3 linked regions of the Ovis aries genome follow. The protein of the gene in region 3 purifies or fractionates together with the protein of the main gene of each other region. This does not show direct contact. Links are inferred from orthologs where the notes say so. Each region holds a gene or a part of one and is shown on either strand. Other genes may lie near its edges.

Region 1 (3,645 bases), on a different chromosome or scaffold from region 3:
AACACAAATAAATGGGTTAATATGCCACCTAAAGTATTTTTAAGATCTACAGACAGGACAGCTGTTGAAAGTCTTACGTAGCACCTAAGTCGTTCAACAAGAAGTTTCAAAAAGTTAAAAAAGGGATCTTTCAGAGGAAAACTGTGGACAGAAGAAATAATAAAGACTGATAGTATGAATGTGACTAACGCTGAGCTATGAGTCAGCCTCAGTCTTATGCACGCATTCCTGCTTCCCATTCTCAGCACCATTCAGGAGTTCTTTAGAATCTGCAGGAGCCCTGGGAGGCAGAGGGGAGATGTACCTTTCCCTCGTGCCGGACGGCAGCTACCGGCGTGGCTTCCTCGGCCTTTTTCCGTCTGTCCTCCTCCTCGTCCCGCTCCTCCTCGGCCTTTTTCTCCGGAGTCACAGTGGTGATCAAGTTGGTCTGAGACATGCCCTTTGTGGTGATGTACTGGCCAGTACCAACCTCTGCAGCGGACACAGAATCCTTCATGTATATTTCATGGTTTTCATTCACTGACGCTAAAAGCAGATACAATTGGAGAAATAAAGTCTGAGATAGTTAAGTCAGAAGAAGGATGGACGCCACCCATTGTCCTATTACAGGGAAAAAAAAAAGCAAAAAAAAAAAACCACAAAAAAAACCCCACAAAAAAACCCCCATAAAGCACCAGGTTTCTCTTCAAAAGACACATCAGCCTTACAGGTACTCTCATCTAAGCAACACCGCAGTGTCATACTCCTGTCACCTGTAACTGCGTCTAAGCGTGATTTCAATGCTCATCTCTTGAAGCCACCAGCACAGTGTGCATCCACTCACAGGCTCTCTGGTAAGGACGTGTGTGAGGGTGGATGTGAGTGGGAAGAGGGGAGCACTGAGTGACTGCTGAGCCTCTTACCCACAGAGTAAACCAGCTGGGCAGCGGCACTCAGAGGCAAGTTCCACAACTAACAGCAGACAGACAACTGCCCTACTACACTTGACTTTAAACACATCTTTGGAAGTGCCAGTCATTGAGGAGCACTGAACTTTTTTTGTAGTGTTATTACCATTGCTACTACTACTATTGTTATTAGTGGCTGAAAAGTCTCTCTCTGCTATAATATAAAAGCTACCTAAGTTATACTGAAAAGTAGCCATCTCAGCAGAGATGATACAATTCGGATGGCAACTCTGCTCAACTGAAGTGCAGAAATGTTTTTTAATTTTCACTGAGTTTTAAAAAGACTGCCATAATGGGCATACATTCATTCATCTTTGGTATTTGGGGAAAGGAAGGCAAACACTGCTAACGAAACTCGTGCAACTGCAAAGCATGCAAACGTAAGAGATGTAAGATCCAGCCTTTCCTCCCAGCTAAAATGTCTTAGTGAAAGAGATACCTGATTTAGTTAAATTTTTGAAATTTGTTACTCATTCTTTAAGGGTTTTAGGTACCATAACATTTACTAAAATTTAGAAAGGCTGCTTTTCAAATCACAGGCAAAATTTAATCTGGTTTCATATTTTTGGGAGTTTAAGACATAAACGTTAAGAAAAAAACTCTGAAATCCTTTGACTAGTAAACCATTTCACTAAAATACCTTCACTAAGATATTTTGCATCTCCATCTAGTGACAAAAAAGCTTGTATGAGACACAGTATCCTAAAAAGGCTTGTGAGGCTTTTCTCATGGAAGATGCAACCTTGCAAAAAGCAGTAGCTATTGCAACATGCAGCCATGGTCCCCCACGCAGCAGCACAGAAAACATACGAGAACCGGCAGGACCCCAGAGAGTGAGACAACGCATACTAGCGTCACTTTTGGGCAGGGGGAGAGAGAGAGACACAGCACGGAATTAGTACATTGGTTTCACGCTTGGCTTCTGTCTTCTCAGCAATCACCATTGCACAGAGGGTCACAAGGAAAAACAGCATTCACAGCAAATGTGTCCCCCTGGGTTCACATCACAGAACCACGTGAAGGACATTCAGGGGAAAAAGCTCTGATTCTACATGAGCTCCTCCAGCACTGACTTAAAGAACACACACCAGTTTACCCAGATGCTTTAAAGAAGAGCAGATGAGACGATACAGAGAAAAGGTGCCACTGTGAATGCGAACTTTCAAAGAACTTAATTCAGCTTCAAACAGTCCTAGTAAACAGTGTTTCCCAAAAGCTTGGTTCTCGGAGATTCTAAAAATGGAACACTCTTCTAGAAGGTAGGGAAAGGTAACTGACATTCCTAGGCCCGCTCACAAGAGCCTGAAGAATGACCCTCAATATACCTGCGGAGGTCTCAGGGTCACATCTGGAATAAGACCACTTTCACCAGCGTCTTATTCACTCTTTGCGACAGCCCTGCCAGAGGTGGCCATGATGCCACCTTACAGACGGCGCCTAAACCTGGGACCTGGAGACGGGCAGCCACTCGCCCACTGCCGTACAGGGAACAGGTCTGGACGCGGGTCTGGGTTTATCTACACCAGGTGAGCATTCTTCCCACTTCACTAACAGAACTTATAAGAAGAATAGAGCACTAATAGCACAGGTTTGACTCCCTCTATTAACTTTTATAAAGTACTCCATTGGGAAAATACAGTCTTTTTTCATTTTATGTGTACTGTTTTCATTCACGTCATTAGAATCTGAAAACTGCAAAAGGAGCTCTTGGTTATGGCAGCAAGTCATAACAATTTACACAGACTTTCTCTTCTTTTCTTCAGTCTGCTCACTGCCCACCCTCCTTATTCCACTGTCACTGCAAACTCGTTGGTATATATCTTTCTAACTTTCTCTCTATCCACATAGGCATAAGCTCAGAACACGGTGGCGGGGGCAGGGGACACACTGGGAAAGTAAGATGTAGGCACTTAGTGTGCTCAGTACTGCTGGATATCATGGCTTCTTTGCCCCTTCAACGGATAGAGCCAAGAATTAAGAGTTATAAATTATGACTTCATGTTGTTGGGCTTCCTGATAGCTCAGTTGGTAAAGAATCCGCTTGCAATGCAGGAGACCCCGGTTTGATTCCTGGGTTGGGAAGATCTGCTGGAGAAGGGATAGGCTATCCACTCTAGTATTCTTGGGCTTTCTTTTTGTGGCTCAGCTGGTAAAGAATCCACCTGCCATGCAGGAGACCTGGGTTCGATCCCTGGGTTGGGATGATCCCCTGGAGAAGGGAAAGGCTACCCACTCTAGAATTCTGGCCTGGAGAATTCCATGGACTGATATATTCAGATAAAGCATTATAGGATTCTTTATCTCACTTCATTCATATTTGTATCTTCTTCTGCAGTCAGAATCAGGATTTCTAACAACATCAATGCAATATAGCCTTTTAAGTCAAGAAATCCGGGGAGTATGTCACCCCAACAGCCACATCAGGGGTTGGTGAAAGGGAAGGAAGGACTGAGACTTTATAGTGAGCTGAAGGCAGAGAAGGTCAAGGGGGAGGTGATCCCAGGCATCTGTAATAACTTGTGATTCTATTTATGCTTTTGCTTATTATTAAAATCATATACTCATGCTTCTAGAAACATCACTTTGTATGTATCCAGGACAAGGTCCCTATAACACATCTCAGGAGCTCTGGGTTAGGAGACAGAGGCCTGGGGCCTAAGTCAAGCCTCACAGTCATCCTGTGGAGTCTGGAGGGGAT
Region 2 (4,382 bases), on a different chromosome or scaffold from region 3:
AAGAAAGCTGAGTTCCCAAATCTTAGTTTTCTGCTAGATATTCACCTGGTATGAGAATAACCAGAACTGACGTTGACTGAGTCACTACCTGATAAGTGAGACAGACCATGATGATAAAGTCAAAGAAAAAGTAGACGGTTGTTTATCTGTTATACCCCAATACAAAATTACAAGTTTAAAAAAGAAAGCAGATGGACCAAGGTATTCCCCAACTTGACCCTCTCCAATCAAAATCAAGGTGTCAGAATCATCCTACATGCCAGCCACACACTCCATACTCGGAGCAACACCTGTTATAAGCAAACCCAGGTTCGATCCCTGCCTTTGTGGAGCATTCACAGCAGCCAGAACACTTACTCATCAAGTCACTAAACCCACAAACATGGAAACTGCTGGCAAGAAAGGTCCATGGTGCTATGGGAACCCAGAATGGCAGATGAAATTACTCAGAGGTCCGAAATTAGGGTTGAACAGGGTGAAGAAAGGAGACAAAAGCTACATGCTGAATCATTCTTAATTAGAGAGTCCTTTTGAAAAGACTTAGGTCTTTGGAGTAATAAATTTTGCTAGTCGCAATGAAAAACTACACGTTTTCTAACATGTGCATGTAAGCGTATTGATTTGTCTGCAAATTGATAACTGGGCAGTCTGCCAGAAAGTTCAATGATATCAGGATGTCATTTAAGTACTTTTTTAAAGGAGGTCATCTCACTGTTTCAAGATGGTTGTGACTAGGAAAGAGGAAGAAGGATGATGTTATGGAAAAGATAAAGAGAACAGAAAGGAAGCAACATTTTAAACGAATACACAGAAGTTTATTGGGAAGAGAATAAGTACCATATTTTAGTGTGAACTGTTACTAAGACCTGAAGGGCTGGTAAAAGCCAAAGAAAAAAATGCAACTGCAAGCTTTTAGCAATTATGCCTTAAAATTACTTTCATTAATGGACTCTAAATACTGGTTATGCAGACATTTTGACAGAAGTTGACATCAAAAAGTGAGATACAGTAAATATTAAAGCATAACTGAGGCACTTCCCTGGTGGTCCAGTGAAGTCTGGACACTGAGCTCCCAATGCCGGAGGAGGGAGGGGGTACGCCCTGGATTTGATCCCTGGTTAGGGAACTAGATCCCACATGCTACAGTTAAGACATGGTGCAGCTAAATATATGTGTGTGTGTGTATATATACACACACACACATAACTGAGACCTCAAAAGGATAGATGTCTTAAGCATATCTTAGAGAATCTAGGCATTCCAGGCACAGTAGCTACTTGTAAGCATCTACAGCTCTAGGGACCGTGGGTTTTACAAGGAGGTATGTTAATGACTAGAGGTAATCTAGTTAAAAGCAGTCTCTCCATCCAAGCTAGACTACCACAGCTAAAAGGTCAAGGCGATGAGGTCATAATTCTGTGATTTTTACCTCGATTTCAGTGTTTTTTTTTCCCCTTACACTGTAAGTATCTATATTTCCTGAGATAACTCTTAAAGGTCCTCAAGTACTCTGTATATTCTCAAACTTGACACGTTTCTTTTTTCTTTTTAAGTATGGTTACCCACATCTTCCCATAAAAGTATCACAAAACGGGTGGAGTGAAGCCTGGCTAATGAACATAAATTCTGGAAAACAGATCTAAAAAACAATGATCTGGACAAGTCACAATCTTGGCGGCTGCAGTTGCCAAGAATAAATATTTCGAAGACCTAAGACTATAAAATGCAAAATGTCTAGGACGTTCAGCACTGCCTCCATAGACCGGAATAGACAGGGACTACTCCCTTACGCCTTCGACTGCATCCTTTGAGAACTTGTAACTACTCCTCCAGTATTTGTTTATCCCACTGAGTCCAGCGAACTGAGCGAAAAGGAGGACGCCGCCGTGTTTGCGAACCCTGTCATTCCTTTTGGAAATGCCGCGTCGGCTCAGGTTTTCTTTGGCTGCGAGTGAGCTACACCCCAGGCTTTCTCTGCATCGGGAAGGCGGTGTTGTCTGCTTCAGCCGCCTGACGCAGGAGGACTGGGTACCAAACCCGGTCGCTCCAGACACAGCCGGCAGCAAGGACAGTGCGCTGCGGGGAACCCATTGGTGGCGGAGTCACCAGGCTGCAACACGCGTCACGGCCCAACAGCTGACTTTCCGCATAGGGAGACGGGGTGGGGGGCTCGACACGTTTGGCCGGGGGTCAGGGCTCCGCAGACACCCCGCACCCCAACCCCCACCACAGGCAGCTCGCCGGTGTCGGGTTGGGTCGCTCCACCGGAAGAGCGTGGAGAAAGGCTCAGCCGCGGGCAGCGGGCGAATTTTATTACTGCGGATGGCGCAGTCGCCTCCCCTGGAGACCCACGACAAAGATGCGAGCCCCCCTCGCCGCGCTCGCGGATCCTTTGGTCCCGCCCCGGCGCTAAAACCCTGAAAAGCCTACAAAGAGGGATTCAGGCTCACGAGTTTGCAGATGGGCTGGACCGGCCGTTAAGTTACTGCAGGCGGAGATCGAGGGGACCTCCCCCCTCCCCTTACCCCCAAAGACCCCCGCCGTCCCGCCCCACCCTCCCCTCCTCCTCCGGGCAGGTGGCCCGGAGCGCCTCTACCTTGGTGGCGGGGTCCGCAGGGGCGATGGCCGGGTCTCCAGGCGTGCCGGGCGCCGCCTCCGCCGCAGAGCCGCCGCCGCTGGGCTCGGGCTCGGCGGGCGTCGCGCTCCCCGCCTCCGGCTGCTCCGGGCTCCGCTGCTCGGTGGAGCTCCCGGCGCCCATGGCTCGTCTGCGGTTCTCCGGTGGCTAGCCGCTTGGAGAACGCCTTCCCCAAATCGCAGGGACGCGGAGAAGAGCCAGAAGCCGTGCACTCGCAAAGTCCCAAGAGCGCCTCAGTCTCCCGCCGTGCTCCTCCAAACCCGCCCAGACTGCGAATGAAGGAGACGCGCTCGCGGCAAACTCCTTAAAAAAAAAAAAAAAAAAAAGCCACCTCTTTGCCTCCTCCTCCTCCCCCTTGTTTTTCCCTCGCTTCATCACATGAGCGCAGCCCCAGACACGCCTTGCAGTAGCATCTCCCCCCAGGCTGCTAGGACCCGACGAGCAGCCGGAGCCTTGGCGAGCCGCCCACCTCGACCCCCAGGGCGCCTCCCATTCCTATCAGGACTGCAGCTAGGGGTCCACCCAGAGGTGCCTCCCCGAAAGTGAGGGGACAACGAGAAAAGGGAGCCCCCCCCCAGGGGAGATCGGAGTCTCTGGGGGTGGGGGTGGTTATTAAATGATGGATGACCTGAGGCAAGGCTTCTGCTGCAGCCCACTCTCAACTCGCCCAGATGCGAACCTAGATCCCCGTTTTCCTTCCTTCGGACTGCTTGCCACTGAACATGCGTTCCTGCCTCCTCGCCGGGAGCCGGAGAAAGGCAAGCGCTCCTGGGCTCCGCCGGAGTCTGACCATATTAGGGCACCTCACGTGGCAGGAGCAGGGAACCAAGAGGTTAATGCAATCAGACCACGGATGAGGTGGGCCAGGCGGCCCCACGCTCTCCTATCACCCAGAACAAGTGATATCAGGCGATGCCATCGGCAACACCGCTCCCCTCCTTCCCCGGGGAAACTGGGGAAGTGAGACTGTTACTGGAAATGTGCCTGTCCTTAAGAGCATGATGCTGGAGTCCAGGCCACCTCTCGCTTGCGCACGGCTGAAACAGGATCACACGGATCTGTTCATTTGCCGTCAGTATTTCTCCATAGATAAAAGCTTTCCATAATAACAGCATCAGGGCCTTGCATTCTGTCCCTTCCTACTCCTGAAAAGAAGGCTTGTTGTGTGAATATAGCAGGCAGTCGGTATATATTTGACCTAAATGAAAATGTTAACGGAATCACCCAGTTGGTAAGCATGAAGACAGTGGGGCTGAAAAAAAAAATTAGCCCAGTTTTAACCGGCCACTAAGCCCTTCGGTTTTCACAGAATCTCATTACAAATTAAGAAACTTGTGGAATATTGCCCCTAATACTAGATACATATCCAGATTTGGGACTCAGTGGCAGGAGAATTGATGTAAACAGCAGTTGGGCACCAGAATATCTGTGCCTAATTAATTACATGTAGTAAAATGGCCGGGGAACCACAGGTTAGTTATCCAACATACAATTCTTCTGAATTTATCAGTTTATCTGAAAGGAGTACATAGCGGCCACTTTCTCTGAAATCTGACATTTAAGAAGCAGTCTATTTCCAAAATGGTTGGTTTTCCGAATTTTTAAGCATTTCACTCATTTTGACTTAAATTTTGGATTATTGAGGAAACATTTGAGTACTTACTCTGTACCAGACATTGTGAGTGTACTTTGTATGTACAATCACATTTCATCCTCAGAGCAGTACTACAGTGTAGATCCTACTGTG
Region 3 (3,645 bases):
AACTGGTGACAGTCCCACTCACATCATCCCTCTCCTCCTCCAGGACCTGGGCCTTCCAGGGCAGGATGGAGGTGGGCTGGAGTGATGGGGGGGGGGGTGTGCCCTTGAAGTCCTCACTTAGGCAGAGAGCTCAGAGCTGGGGTGCACAGTGCCACCCCCCACAGCTCCTTAGCATCCGTGTTCACCCGCGTGGCTCTGACTGACCCAGGGTATCTTCAGACTCCATGGCTCTGGACAGATCTAAAGAGCCCTACATTCCAGGGAAAACAGTTCTGAGGAGCAAGCTTGTGAGCAACTTGCATATAGGTCAATATCAGGTTTTTCCATAAACTGTCACAGAATTTTTGGCCAACCCAATATTGGAGAGAAAAAAGGCCCTTAAAATGCCCAACCTGGGTTTCCCTGGGCAGTGTTCCTTCCCACAGTTAAATGAGCGTCAACCCCTCAGGGAAAGTCTGCCCTTTTCACCTCTAGCCTCAACTCTCACCAGGTTTATAGTTAAGATTCACAATGAGCGCATCACGTACAAAGCAGCCCCAATGAATGAGTCAGCGATAAACCATCAGTCTTAATGGAGGCATTAATAACAGGCCAGTGGAATTAGATTAAGAATCAGTTAATAGACAGGAAAGACTTAAAAGCGGAGTAAAATGCATGGCCAAGAGCCACTCTTGGACTGCTTCACGTGCTTGGGAGAGAAGGGTCCTCCCCTTAGGCACTAGGGTGGGTGATGAACGAGGGTAACCACTGATGAGTTTACAGTGTCCTTGGAGGGGCCAGGTTGGGGGAGGGGGGGAACTGAGCACAGAGGTACTTAACTCCAGCCTCCTCCAGAAGCATCTTGAGGTCTCCAGACCACACTGAGTGCCTTCGCAAACTCCGAGGCAGAGACACATGCAGGGGGCCAGAGTAGGGCGGAGGGGCGGGTGGCGGGGAGGGGAGAGAGAGAGCAGGTACCCTGTGCAAACCCAGCTCCTACTGTGTCACTGGAGCTGTACCCGTTGACCGCGGCCTTGCTGCTCAGATCAGTCATCTGGTGCAGCCGCAGCTTCCGGCAGTAGATGGAGGCTGCCTCGGGCTCCAGGGCAATGATGAGCTGCTCCGAGTTCTCCGGGGAGGCCAGGCCTGCCTGGAAGACAGAAGGCAAGGCTGGGACCCCTCCGAGGACACCCCCACCCTGGGAGTGAGCACCCCCAAGGAAGGGGTGCTTGTTGGGGAAATTCCCTCCACAGGCCCCTGCAGAGCCTAAAATCGGGGGTGACTGGGTGCTGAGCCCTAAGCCAGGTACCCAAACATCACAGGGTGGGCAAAGGAGAGAAAGAAAGTGAAAGTGAAGTCGCTCAGTCGTGTCCAACTCTTTGCGACCCCATGGACTGCAGCCTGCCAGGCTCCCCTCCAGGCAAGAGTACTGGAGTGGGGTGCCAATATACAAGTATTCTTGGTGAGTGCCAGGCTCTGTGAGCCTCAAGGCTGCCTGCATGTTTGGCCCACTTGGCCCACAGCTGAGAAGCCCAAAGGGGCAAAGGACCCAAAACTTAGAAAACCAACCCAGGATGGAAGGCCAATGATGGTCTGTTTTTGGTTCCAGAACCAAATGGTAGGACTGAGGCCTAGCAAACCCCAATGGTCGGTGGCCTAGGAAACAGAAAGGCCATTGTCGGGCCTCAGCTGTGCAAGAATCTGAATCTGCTATGTAGGCATCTGATCTGTTATCTCCAGAACACCGAGGGGGCTCCAGGAGAAAGCCCCTCACCCCCGCCCTGGAATCCACAGAGTCCCCAGGTCCTAGATGCAGGGGAAAGCCCACTGGCAGTTATCCTGTGCAAAGCCCCTCTCCTGTTCACAGCAGACGTGCGTCTGCCCTGTGACGCCTGGCTTGCTCCAGCCACAACCCCTTCAGGCCTCTCGAAGGGCAGCCAGGGGGCTTCAGGAACACCCCTCTGAGGGTGCGCAGAGACACAGACTGGCTTGGCCTTGACCTGGAGCATGAGGTGTGGCTTGCTTGTTGAAGCTGCCCATGGGCATGGATGTCCTTGGTTGCCAACACAACGAGAAACTAAAACTAGCTCGTTCTGGTACCACTGTGTTTATTGTCTTTGCTGCCATTTCCGAGGGAACCCGGGATGCTCCCCGGGTGCAACATCCACTTTGGAGAAGGCCCCCAGCTCTCCCCAGGCCCCAGGAGAAGGCAGCCAGGGGCCTCCCCAGGCTCATCTTGTCAGCCAGGGACAAAGGTCTGCCTAACATCACACTTGTAAATGCCCACGGGGAAAAGCCAGCCTAGGGTCATGAGCAGAAGGGGCTTTGGAGGGTCAATTATTGGGCAAGGAAGGGAGGGGAGTTGAGGTTAGAAACTGCAGACACCTTTCGTCCAATTCCTTCACTTTATGCAGAAAGAAACTAAGGCTTAGAGAGGTAGGGTGACCAACTGTCCTGGGTTTCCTGGGACACTGATCTCTCAGTGCCCAAACTGGGACAGTCTTAGGCTCCAGGGTAGCCAACAGAAGTGAGAGCCAGCCCAGGCCCCACAGACTAGCTCTTGAACTGGTTCTGAGCTCTTCTGCTCTTAGTAACTCCAGTTACTGAAGTGGGGCCCAGTCCTCCATGCTTTGACAGAACTCCTGGGTGCCCCTAACACTCCCCTCCTGAACTGGTTTGAAGGTGCGATCTCCACTCATTTAGTCTGGGCCAGGACTGCCTTATACCTGCCGCCATCTGTTCTCCCAAATAACTGTATTATCCCAAATGAACCAATCAACTAGGTCTCAGATACCATCAGCCGGCAGGTGACAAAGTCTCTACTTTGCCAAAACTAAATGTCTGCCAAGGGCAGAACCCTTCTGGAAGACTGTCCTTTACAAAACCAGATGGAACCATACATGCCTTCACTCTCCACCAGGAACCCGCCTCCTTCCTGCCTCAGCTGAGCCCAACCACACAAGCAGGATCTGTTGCCCATCGGCCTGGCCCCCAGGTTGAAGAGGCCAGGTCTGCCCTGAGCTTACCCAGGTCAGTGGGTGACTGGCGCAGGTGTGTGCCAAGATTCCGGTCCCAGGGATTAAAGTGCCCCCTCCCCCAGCCTCACTTTCTCACAGGATCTCATCAGACAGCCTCAGTAAAAAGGCAGCCAAGGGTTAAAGTGCCTGATGAAAGACGCCACGGGCTACCCACGGCAAGTGCCGCCAGGAACAGGGACACCTCTGAACCTTTCTCCCCAGGATCCCAGAAGGAAAACTCCAGAGTGACAGTAAGAGGAGCCCTGTCTGCAGCGCAGTGCTCGTGGACTGGCTCTTCCGTCCTCATAAAGCCGAGACCCTTCTAGAGCAGGAGCTCACAGGCCTGGCTCGCACCACGTGGACTGAGGAAGACGGACAGGTGAACAGCAAAGCAACGGTGGGCCTGGGAGACACAAGCCTCTCCTGCAAAGCTCAGGATGGGAGGAGGCTGGGGAGGGCAGAGCTGAGCGCGCCCGGGACTCGGTGTGAAGGAGGAAAGGCACATTCCTGTCTCCGGGTCCCGTCAGCCAGCCAGGCGGTGCCCACGTGGCTGGTGAGAATAGCTGGGTCCAGGGCCTGTCTGGGGCAATGGGGACTGCAGGGGACAAAGGAGCAGAGAAGACAGACACCTTCATTCCTCTCCAAGCCT

The links.
Region 1: the proteins of HSPA12A (region 3) and EPB41L3 purify together in Homo sapiens (affinity purification with mass spectrometry; 4 studies listed by BioGRID and IntAct, with this or other methods). This does not show direct contact. The link is inferred for Ovis aries from reciprocal best matches to the Homo sapiens genes HSPA12A and EPB41L3.
Region 2: the proteins of HSPA12A (region 3) and AKAP12 purify together in Homo sapiens (affinity purification with mass spectrometry; 3 studies listed by BioGRID and IntAct, with this or other methods). This does not show direct contact. The link is inferred for Ovis aries from reciprocal best matches to the Homo sapiens genes HSPA12A and AKAP12.

What each region holds. Positions count from the first base shown.
Region 1 is NC_056076.1:39,369,326-39,372,970, forward strand, and holds part of EPB41L3 (band 4.1-like protein 3), read right to left. Parts: intron 526-3,645; coding exon 305-525; intron 1-304. UniProt on the Homo sapiens protein: Tumor suppressor that inhibits cell proliferation and promotes apoptosis. Modulates the activity of protein arginine N-methyltransferases, including PRMT3 and PRMT5.
Region 2 is NC_056061.1:76,102,982-76,107,363, reverse strand, and holds the start of AKAP12 (A-kinase anchor protein 12), read right to left. Parts: upstream 2,913-4,382; 5' UTR 2,759-2,912; coding exon 2,597-2,758; intron 1-2,596. UniProt on the Homo sapiens protein: Anchoring protein that mediates the subcellular compartmentation of protein kinase A (PKA) and protein kinase C (PKC).
Region 3 is NC_056075.1:36,606,821-36,610,465, forward strand, and holds part of HSPA12A (heat shock 70 kDa protein 12A), read right to left. Parts: intron 1,130-3,645; coding exon 958-1,129; intron 1-957. UniProt on the Homo sapiens protein: Adapter protein for SORL1, but not SORT1. Delays SORL1 internalization and affects SORL1 subcellular localization.